Arabidopsis thaliana: one gene and its partner. The protein of the gene in region 1 interacts with the protein of each later gene in a pairwise test. Each region holds a gene or a part of one and is shown in the gene's direction. Other genes may lie near its edges.

Region 1 (4,765 bases):
TATATTTCCAAGGGCGTTTATTTATCTTTTTTTCAGGCCTTGTAATGTCTTGTTATTACATGGGGTTTCTTGCAGGCAACGGGTTACCCTGTTTTTATGGAGAAACTTGCGGCTACTTGTGCAACTGCTGTTGAGTCAAGAGTGCAAATTGATGGAAGAATAGTGACCAGTCGTGGACCAGGAACCACCATTGAATTCTCCATCACGCTTATAGAGCAGTTGTTTGGGAAAGAAAAAGCTGATGAAGTCTCCAGTATCTTGGTATGTTTTGTCTCTGCCTCTTTTATCAACCGCTGTGGTACGTGTTCATGTCACCTCCTCGTAGACTTACTTGTTATCCTTTTGAAATCAGCTGCTTCGTCCTAACCCTGGTGAGGAGTTTACTTTTACTGAGCTTAACCAAACAAACTGGTCATTTGAAGATACACCACAGGTAAATGTTCAGTTGCCTCTCCACTTGGCCCTTTTAACATTTTTCCAAGACAGGCTTTGTTTGATCCGTTATACAGATTCCTAGGAACATGCTGTGTTGTAAAGCTTTTGTCTTTCTTGATCAATAGTCTTTTATGAGTCAGAGAGATAATGTTTTCCCTTTTCAGATTCTCGTACCCATTGCAGAGGAGTCAGAGGAAATTGAAGCTATAGCGCTTGTAGATATCCTGAGGCGGGCAAAAGCAAATGTAGTGATTGCTGCAGTTGGTAACAGTTTGGAAGTTGAAGGATCTCGCAAAGCTAAGCTAGTAGCAGAAGTTCTTCTTGATGAGGTTGCAGAGAAGTCGTTTGATCTGATTGTGTTACCTGTGAGTATTGCTAACTTCCAAAATGTGAATATACTATTTAGTCTTAAATTAAATTTTAATATTCTATGATGACAAATAACCAAAAACATAATCCAACTTCTTTGATGAACTACAGGGCGGTCTTAACGGTGCTCAAAGATTCGCAAGCTGCGAGAAGCTAGTTAATATGTTAAGGAAACAGGCAGAAGCAAACAAACCATATGGAGGAATCTGCGCATCGCCTGCTTACGTCTTCGAGCCTAATGGTTTACTCAAGGTGCATAAATCAAACAGTACTAGAATTGTAGTTTCTTGTTCTATCTTTTAAGTCATTAAACTGAGATATAAGAGACATGTTTTGTATAGGGTAAGAAGGCTACTACTCACCCAGTGGTGAGCGACAAACTTTCGGACAAGAGTCACATTGAGCACAGAGTCGTGGTAGATGGAAATGTCATAACAAGCAGAGCTCCAGGGACTGCAATGGAGTTTTCACTTGCCATTGTCGAAAAGTTTTACGGGCGAGAGAAAGCTCTTCAGCTCGGAAAGGCAACACTTGTGTGATTTCAAACAATGAAAGTATGAGAGTGGCTTGAATAAAAAGAAGGCTTTGCCTTTTAGTTATCTCTCTCCATTAGTAATTACTTACTTTATGATATATGACATATGAGCTTGGCTTAGTGATTGGTGTGTAACTTTATGCCTTTATAAATGAATAAACGAGATTTTTCTATGTATGTTGCCGATATTTTCTTTAAACCTCTGCAAGAGCTAGAGGGTGTGCTGGAGAAAAAAATTATTTTATGGAGAAAGATATTTTAGTCACACATTTTCACCAAATTGACCTTACAATAACTCTAAAATACGAATTTGCCCCTATGTTTAGCTTTGGAATATTTCATATTTGTAAACCATTTAATAATATGATTATTACCAATTTAGTGAAAATAAAATCTTCAGTCTTCTCTTCTTGTATAAAAATAGCTTTTTTATCATTTGAAAACAGAGTAATGTCACTAATTTCTTGGCGAAAATGTGTTTATTTGTAACTTAAGGTAAAATAGGGGCAATTTTGTTGAATCTGATAAGATCAGGGGGTAGTACCGTAGATTTCGCTGTCCAGTTCAGTTATGAAATACCTAAAATGCCCTCGACTCATAATCTACTATTAAACCCTCATAAAACCCTTGATTTCATTTCTAGCTCATCTGTTTTCACACTCTCTCCTAGGGTTTTATCTGCGAAGCCCAATCTAGAGCTTCCATGGCGACGCATACCATTTCTCGATCCATTCTTTGCCGACCGGCGAAATCTCTTTCGTTTCTGTTCACGCGATCCTTTGCTTCATCTGCTCCTCTCGCCAAATCTCCGGCGTCTTCTCTGCTCAGCCGGTCCCGTCCTCTGGTCGCCGCTTTTTCCTCCGTTTTCCGTGGCGGCCTTGTGTCTGTCAAAGGTCTCTCGACGCAGGCTACATCGTCTTCTCTGAACGACCCGAATCCCAACTGGTCGAACAGGCCACCTAAGGAGACGATCCTGCTCGATGGTTGCGATTTCGAGCACTGGCTTGTCGTCGTGGAGCCACCTCAGGGTGAGCCTACTAGAGATGAAATCATTGATAGCTACATCAAAACCCTAGCTCAGATTGTTGGCAGGTAAATCCCCAATTCAAAACTCTCTCTCTCTCTCTCTCTCTCTGTGTATGTTCTTCTAGGGATTTTAGGTTAAATAAGTGAGAAATCCACTACTGTGTATGACGGATCTGTGTGTTTACTTAGATCATTTTTGGAGCTGTAACATGATATATCTCGTTTTGGACATTTCAGTGAAGACGAAGCTAGGATGAAGATCTACTCGGTTTCAACTAGGTGCTACTATGCTTTTGGGGCACTTGTGTCAGAAGATCTTTCTCACAAGTTAAAAGGTTAACTCTTGCCTTTGTTGGGTTTTAGTTTTCCTCATTTCTGTGTTATAATCTGCCTTCTAACTTTCTTCTGTAACTCTCCAGAGTTGTCAAATGTGCGCTGGGTTCTTCCTGACTCTTACCTGGATGTGAGGAACAAAGACTATGGAGGTAGGCTTAAGTGTATTATCTGTATCATAACCTGGGTTTGAAATTGGGGTAGTTGCTTTGCTCGTCCATTATACTTTTGCTGGGTTTGAAATTTTCAAGGGAAACTACCTGTTGCTAGTCTTCGCTCTGTGGACTCGTTACTTGCTCCATGCTTTTGTGTTAGATTGACACATGGGGCGACTTCTATTTATAGTTAATTAACATTGTGGGTGCATCTGTTAGATTTGATTTAGTGATATCTATTGTGAGACTGGTGTTGTAGAAGTCGCAGTGATGTTGCTTTGGTGAGAGTTTAAATCTTTCTGGTGATCCTATTAGAGAGTTAGTTTGATGCGTTTTTGTATATATTGACTTTCAGGGGAACCTTTCATCGATGGGAAGGCTGTTCCTTATGATCCTAAGTACCACGAGGAGTGGATAAGGAACAATGCTAGAGCAAATGAAAGGAACAGACGCAATGACCGTCCTCGCAACAATGATAGAAGCAGAAACTTTGAGAGGAGAAGAGAGAACATGGCAGGAGGCCCTCCTCCTCAACGTCCTCCCATGGGAGGCCCTCCTCCTCCTCCGCACATCGGTGGCTCTGCACCTCCTCCGCCTCATATGGGTGGCTCTGCACCTCCTCCACCTCACATGGGGCAGAACTATGGACCACCACCACCAAACAACATGGGAGGACCAAGGCATCCACCACCTTATGGAGCACCACCGCAAAACAACATGGGAGGACCGAGGCCACCTCAGAACTATGGAGGAACACCACCTCCCAACTATGGAGGAGCACCACCAGCAAACAACATGGGAGGAGCACCACCACCAAACTATGGAGGAGGACCACCACCTCAATATGGAGCAGTACCACCACCTCAATACGGAGGAGCACCCCCACAGAACAACAACTACCAGCAGCAGGGTAGTGGAATGCAGCAGCCACAGTACCAGAACAACTACCCACCTAACCGGGATGGCAGTGGCAACCCCTACCAGGGTTAAAGCAGTTGAAGCAGTCGTGGGTTTCCTTTTTAATCATGCATTCTGGGCTGTGTATAGATAATTTGAGGAAGAGAGAGTGCAGTAGCAAGACTTTAAAACTCCTTTTATCTCGAGTGTTTATCAGTCTGGGATTATGTGAGAGAGAATAGCCTAAGTTACTGTGGCATGGTTAGAACTTTTCACTCTTGCGTTTCTTTTTAGTAGTTTATATCCTAAATCGATCTCAAGTTCTTCCTTGTGATGCTTGCTACTCTTATGTCCACTCCTGGTTCTGCATTAAACGGGATTTAGTAACATGTCTCCCACAGGCTATTGTTTTGTGTCTTTCTTTGGCTTCTTCCTAGTCTTAATTTCTAATTCCCCAATCATGTTTACATGGGAATGGGATACTCATATTATAACAGGAAGAATGACAAATGTCATCAATATCATATTTCTTTCGACAAACTTGACAGAACACACAATTTGATGATGAGAGAGAGAAGCGGGTGTGAAGTAACAAGATGGGCTTTGTGTTCTTTATCCCGGCCCATCATTCTAAATTTCAGCCCAAAATGGAAAATCTCGTAACCGTATAAAGCCCTCGCTTCCCTCATATGTTTTTCCGCCGTCACATATTTTCCCCTCTTTTTTTTCGTGTCAGATTCGCTTTCTCTACGGCTGGACTAGAAGGATTAGGGATTTACCGGTGAAAGAATAACTCCAGAGATAAATCTGTAACCATGGATATGATGAAGAAGCGTAAGCTCGATGAGAACGGTAACGGACTCAATACCAACGGTGGCGGAACCATTGGTCCAACTCGATTGTCGCCGCAAGACGCGAGGAAGATTATCGAGCGATTCACCACTGATCAGCTGCTCGACTTATTGCAAGAGGCTATCGTACGCCATCCCGACGTGCTTGAATCTGTCCGATTAAC
Region 2 (5,393 bases), 4.6 Mb from region 1:
AGGTTACCTTGAGAGATCTATCCAGATCATGCAAAACTAGCTTAAGAGTTGTCAATAACTAATGAAGTAAGAAGCTTAGTTATAAATCCATGATTGATCTTCAACGAGAACAACTATGAAAGATGGATTAACTTCACAAACACTTCAAGATAAGGGTTCAAAGTTTAACATGATTTATTTCACAAAACAAAAGGAATATATACAACTTAAACATTATCACATTCACGATAAGTGCTTACCATAAACAAAGTGGTTCAAGGATCTTGCCTCTGAAACCATGTCTATTAACTTGAAGAATAGATCACTTCAAATATTCAATTAACTATATCTACCCGGCAACACGTTCCTTGCCAAACCAGTATCGCCCCTTTCTGAGCTCTTATGTCTTTCATACTCAAGATCATCAGTAGGCAGCTCATACCGACAAACCGGGCAAGTATTCCTTATCCCCAACCAAGGTATGATACACTCTCCATGATAGAAATGACTACAAGGAAGCCTCCTTACTTTCTCCTCCACTAACATTTCATCTTTGCATACCGCACAAACATTGTTCCCTTTGTCTAACTCTTCCACAGCAAGCTCCACAACCGGAAGATCCTGAATTACACTTTTGGCTGCTGGAGGATTTCCCCTGATTCCAGTCTCGTCATCAAACATTTGCCCAAGAATAGCATCAGCATCATAATGTCCACTATGATTTTCATCAAATTCATCCAAACCAGATAGATACAGGTAATAATCCGGATCGATATCATCAGGGTTTAGCATGATTCCTTCAGCTTGTTCGATATAATTAACAACATTGTTAACAGTTAACAAAACCTGCCAGTCCAGTTCATGATCTTCTTCTTCATCATCCCTTGATAGTGAAGACAATTCATCTTCTTCGTCCTCATCTTCGGGTCCACTAAAAGCTGTCCAGTTAATCGCGTTCTGCACCTCCTCCCATTCTTCATCAGCCAACACGGTTCCCTCTCCGAAGAGATGATCCCACACAGGAGGAAGACCCGTACCAACCTCGACCCGACCCGAATCATTTCCCCTATTCCCGCTACTATCCTCAGAGATAAAATCAAACACGCCATCTTCACAATCGGAATCTGAATCGATACCGGTCACTCGAAGCCCTTGCTCCCCTGAATCACCCGGTTGCAGATCCGACCCGGAAGTCCCCAAAACTATCTCCTCCTCTTCCTCGTCTTCCTTGGGGTCATAAAAGCCCCAAATATTATAATCACCGGCGGTCAGCCCTCCTGATTCCAAGTACTCAGCCACGTCAACATCGGAAGAATCTCGATCGAAGAAATCGATGGGACAGCTGTTGGGATCGGGCTCAGAATCCGAGTAAGAACCTGATCCAGAATCTGAAATCGGGCCTGTGAAAGGGAAATAAGGATTGCAATCGATGTCCCTGTCGTCGAATGGCGAGTAACGGACGAGTAAGTTCGTGGTCTCCGGTATGAAAATCGGATCGTCTACGGCTACACCGTCGCCTTCAGCCTCTTCTTCAAGGTTGATTGCGGAATCGGGCTTCGTCGACGCCATTGCTGTGTCTCAGAGAAAAGTAATTAATTAAAAAAAAAAAAGACAAAAAAGGAAAAAGGAAATTTCAGAGGGAAAAATCGTATGATTTCGTCTACACAAAGGATATAATATGATGACGTGTATTTGCAGGTGGATTAAGACAAACGATGAAAAAATTACGCCGTTGCCGGGGATCGAACCCGGGTCACCCGCGTGACAGGCGGGAATACTTACCACTATACTACAACGACCTTGTTGATCTGGTAATGCTTTTTAATTATTTAATAGAATAGTAAAAGTCCAAACTGGATTCCCCGTGGCGTGTTAACCGCTTGATTAATATAGCTAGTGCCTAGTCAGTCGGTTTATATATTTTTCAAACCGAGTGAACCGAACCGAAGCAATTGTAATCGTTTCAATCCCGCCATAGATACCACTGAGTTTCAGTTCGTTATGACTCATGGCGGAGAGTCTCAGATTATTGCATATGACCAGATCAGTGGTTTCATTCAATCGTTGTCTAACAGAGAAAATTTCATACCGGAGAGTTCCAAGCTTTTCTTATTTCACTGATTTTCTGAATCAAGTGAACTCAGTTAGCACGACGAACTTTTCGTTTGTTTTCAAGGAATGTGCGAAGCAAGGAGCGTTAGAGCTAGGCAAGCAAGCTCATGCTCATATGATAATATCTGGGTTTCGTCCGACTACATTCGTACTGAACTGTTTGCTGCAGGTCTACACAAATTCAAGAGATTTCGTGTCTGCTTCTATGGTGTTCGACAAAATGCCGCTGAGAGATGTTGTTTCTTGGAACAAAATGATAAATGGTTACTCGAAGAGTAATGACATGTTTAAAGCGAATTCTTTCTTCAATATGATGCCTGTGAGAGATGTTGTGTCTTGGAACTCAATGCTTTCTGGGTATCTGCAAAACGGCGAGAGTTTGAAATCTATCGAGGTTTTCGTTGACATGGGGAGAGAAGGTATTGAGTTTGACGGTAGAACTTTTGCAATTATTCTTAAAGTTTGTTCCTTTTTAGAGGATACCAGTTTAGGAATGCAGATTCATGGGATTGTCGTTCGAGTGGGTTGTGATACTGATGTGGTTGCTGCGAGTGCGTTGTTGGATATGTATGCAAAAGGCAAGAGGTTTGTCGAGTCTCTTAGAGTGTTTCAAGGTATACCAGAGAAGAATTCTGTCTCGTGGAGTGCTATAATCGCAGGTTGTGTTCAGAATAACTTGTTGTCCCTTGCTTTGAAGTTTTTCAAGGAGATGCAAAAGGTAAATGCTGGAGTGAGCCAGTCAATTTACGCTAGCGTCTTGAGGTCATGTGCTGCGTTATCCGAATTGAGGTTAGGCGGTCAGTTACATGCTCATGCCTTGAAGTCAGATTTTGCAGCAGATGGTATAGTGAGGACGGCGACATTGGACATGTACGCAAAGTGTGATAATATGCAAGATGCTCAAATTTTGTTTGACAACTCAGAAAATCTTAATAGGCAATCTTATAACGCAATGATTACTGGTTATTCGCAAGAAGAACATGGTTTCAAAGCTCTACTGTTGTTTCACCGACTCATGTCATCGGGTCTTGGTTTCGACGAGATAAGTTTATCAGGAGTATTCAGGGCTTGTGCCTTGGTGAAAGGACTTTCAGAGGGGCTTCAGATTTACGGTTTGGCGATAAAAAGCAGCTTATCGCTAGATGTTTGCGTTGCAAATGCTGCTATCGACATGTATGGGAAATGTCAAGCTCTGGCTGAAGCCTTTCGTGTATTCGATGAGATGAGAAGACGAGACGCTGTGTCTTGGAATGCGATTATAGCTGCACATGAGCAGAACGGAAAAGGATATGAAACGCTTTTTCTTTTTGTCTCGATGCTCCGTTCTAGGATCGAACCTGATGAGTTTACCTTTGGAAGCATATTGAAAGCTTGCACTGGTGGTTCTTTAGGTTACGGTATGGAGATCCATTCCAGCATTGTCAAATCAGGAATGGCTTCAAACTCCTCTGTCGGATGCTCTCTGATCGATATGTATTCAAAGTGTGGAATGATAGAAGAGGCGGAGAAGATACATAGTCGATTCTTTCAACGAGCCAATGTCTCGGGAACAATGGAAGAGCTTGAAAAGATGCACAATAAGAGACTGCAGGAAATGTGTGTTTCATGGAATTCAATTATTTCCGGATATGTAATGAAGGAACAAAGCGAGGATGCTCAGATGCTTTTTACCCGGATGATGGAGATGGGTATAACTCCTGACAAATTTACTTATGCAACAGTTCTTGATACCTGTGCGAATCTTGCTTCCGCTGGATTAGGTAAACAGATTCATGCTCAGGTCATCAAGAAAGAATTGCAATCTGATGTGTATATCTGTAGCACCCTCGTTGACATGTACTCGAAATGTGGAGATCTCCATGATTCAAGATTGATGTTTGAGAAGTCGCTGAGAAGAGATTTCGTGACCTGGAACGCCATGATTTGCGGGTATGCACATCATGGGAAAGGAGAGGAAGCTATACAACTGTTTGAGAGAATGATACTCGAAAACATCAAACCAAATCACGTTACTTTCATATCGATACTCCGAGCTTGTGCTCACATGGGTCTGATCGACAAAGGGCTCGAGTACTTCTATATGATGAAGAGAGACTATGGCCTGGATCCTCAGCTACCGCATTACTCGAACATGGTAGATATATTAGGAAAATCCGGAAAAGTCAAGAGAGCATTAGAGCTTATTCGAGAGATGCCATTTGAAGCAGACGATGTCATATGGAGAACCCTGTTAGGAGTCTGCACGATACATAGAAACAATGTAGAGGTTGCAGAAGAAGCAACTGCTGCCCTGTTGAGATTGGATCCACAAGACTCTTCAGCTTATACACTTTTATCAAATGTATACGCAGATGCAGGAATGTGGGAAAAGGTTTCAGATTTGAGGAGAAATATGAGAGGCTTTAAGCTTAAGAAGGAGCCTGGTTGCAGTTGGGTTGAGCTAAAAGATGAGCTTCATGTGTTTCTCGTTGGAGATAAGGCTCATCCTAGATGGGAAGAGATTTACGAAGAGCTTGGTTTGATTTACAGTGAAATGAAACCTTTTGATGATTCTTCTTTCGTGCGTGGGGTTGAAGTAGAAGAAGAGGACCAATGGTGTTACTGCTAAACAATTTTGTATTAAAAGTAAATTTAACAAATAGATTGTTTACAGCGTTTGTATAGTTGTAGTTTTGTTTGTTCAAGTACTATGATATTGCTTCATTTAATGATGATCAGAAGTGGTTATCTACTTTCAATATCTTGTTATACATTGCTTCTTTTGCCTCTTTTAGTTCTTCATGGTACTAAATTACTGTTTGGTTCGGTTAAGCTATAGATGAGTAAACTAATAAGATCACAACAGAAGGAATCACAAAAATGGGTCATAAGTCTCAAGTATTACCAAAAATGATTATATAGGAAACAACAGACAAAACAGAGTTCTTCATCAGGAGGCAAATCTGACTGTAGACAAAATCTGATCTATTTTGTAAAACTTTTTGTGATTTGTCTTATTATGTTGAGGTAATATTATCTGTTGCTGTCTTCTGGCGTTTTGGATCAACCTTGTCTTGGACATTATCTTCTGGCTCTGCTTCTTCATCTTCTTCTTTAAGTTCTTCATGGTGTTGGCTAAGATGACCATTGACTGCTTCATGACCAATAAGAGATACATGTTTGCTCGTAATCTGGCGACCAGCCCTAAGCTTTGGACCCCAATGCTTCTCTGGATTTGGCAGAAAACGAGCTACTTTCTTTGCCTGTGCCTTGCTCAGCGAACCAATGTGACGCGAAAAATCAACCTGTCCAAACACAAGACA

Evidence for each region.
Region 2: the proteins of RIP1 (region 1) and AT3G02330 interact in a two-hybrid assay, tested with the Arabidopsis thaliana proteins (one study listed by BioGRID).

Annotation. Positions count from the first base shown.
Region 1 is NC_003074.8:5,048,279-5,053,043, forward strand, and holds RIP1 (cobalt ion binding protein), read left to right. Parts: upstream 1-1,916; 5' UTR 1,917-2,042; coding exon 2,043-2,431; intron 2,432-2,602; coding exon 2,603-2,700; intron 2,701-2,784; coding exon 2,785-2,850; intron 2,851-3,208; coding exon 3,209-3,843; 3' UTR 3,844-4,177; downstream 4,178-4,765. Other genes in the region: DJ1A (Class I glutamine amidotransferase-like superfamily protein), read left to right, coding at 76-261, 353-433, 600-800, 916-1,056, 1,146-1,343; AT3G15010 (RNA-binding (RRM/RBD/RNP motifs) family protein), read left to right, coding at 4,566-4,765. UniProt on the Arabidopsis thaliana protein: Involved in organellar RNA editing. Required for the processing of numerous RNA editing sites in mitochondria and plastids. Binds to the plastid RARE1 factor, a pentatricopeptide repeat-containing protein involved in RNA editing.
Region 2 is NC_003074.8:473,187-478,579, reverse strand, and holds AT3G02330 (Pentatricopeptide repeat (PPR) superfamily protein), read left to right. Parts: upstream 1-1,917; 5' UTR 1,918-1,987; coding exon 1,988-4,699; 3' UTR 4,700-4,806; downstream 4,807-5,393. Other genes in the region: AT3G02340 (RING/U-box superfamily protein), read right to left, coding at 319-1,548; AT3G02320 (N2,N2-dimethylguanosine tRNA methyltransferase), read right to left, coding at 5,088-5,375. UniProt on the Arabidopsis thaliana protein: Involved in C-to-U editing of mitochondrial RNA. Required for RNA editing at 8 sites in 6 different mRNAs in mitochondria.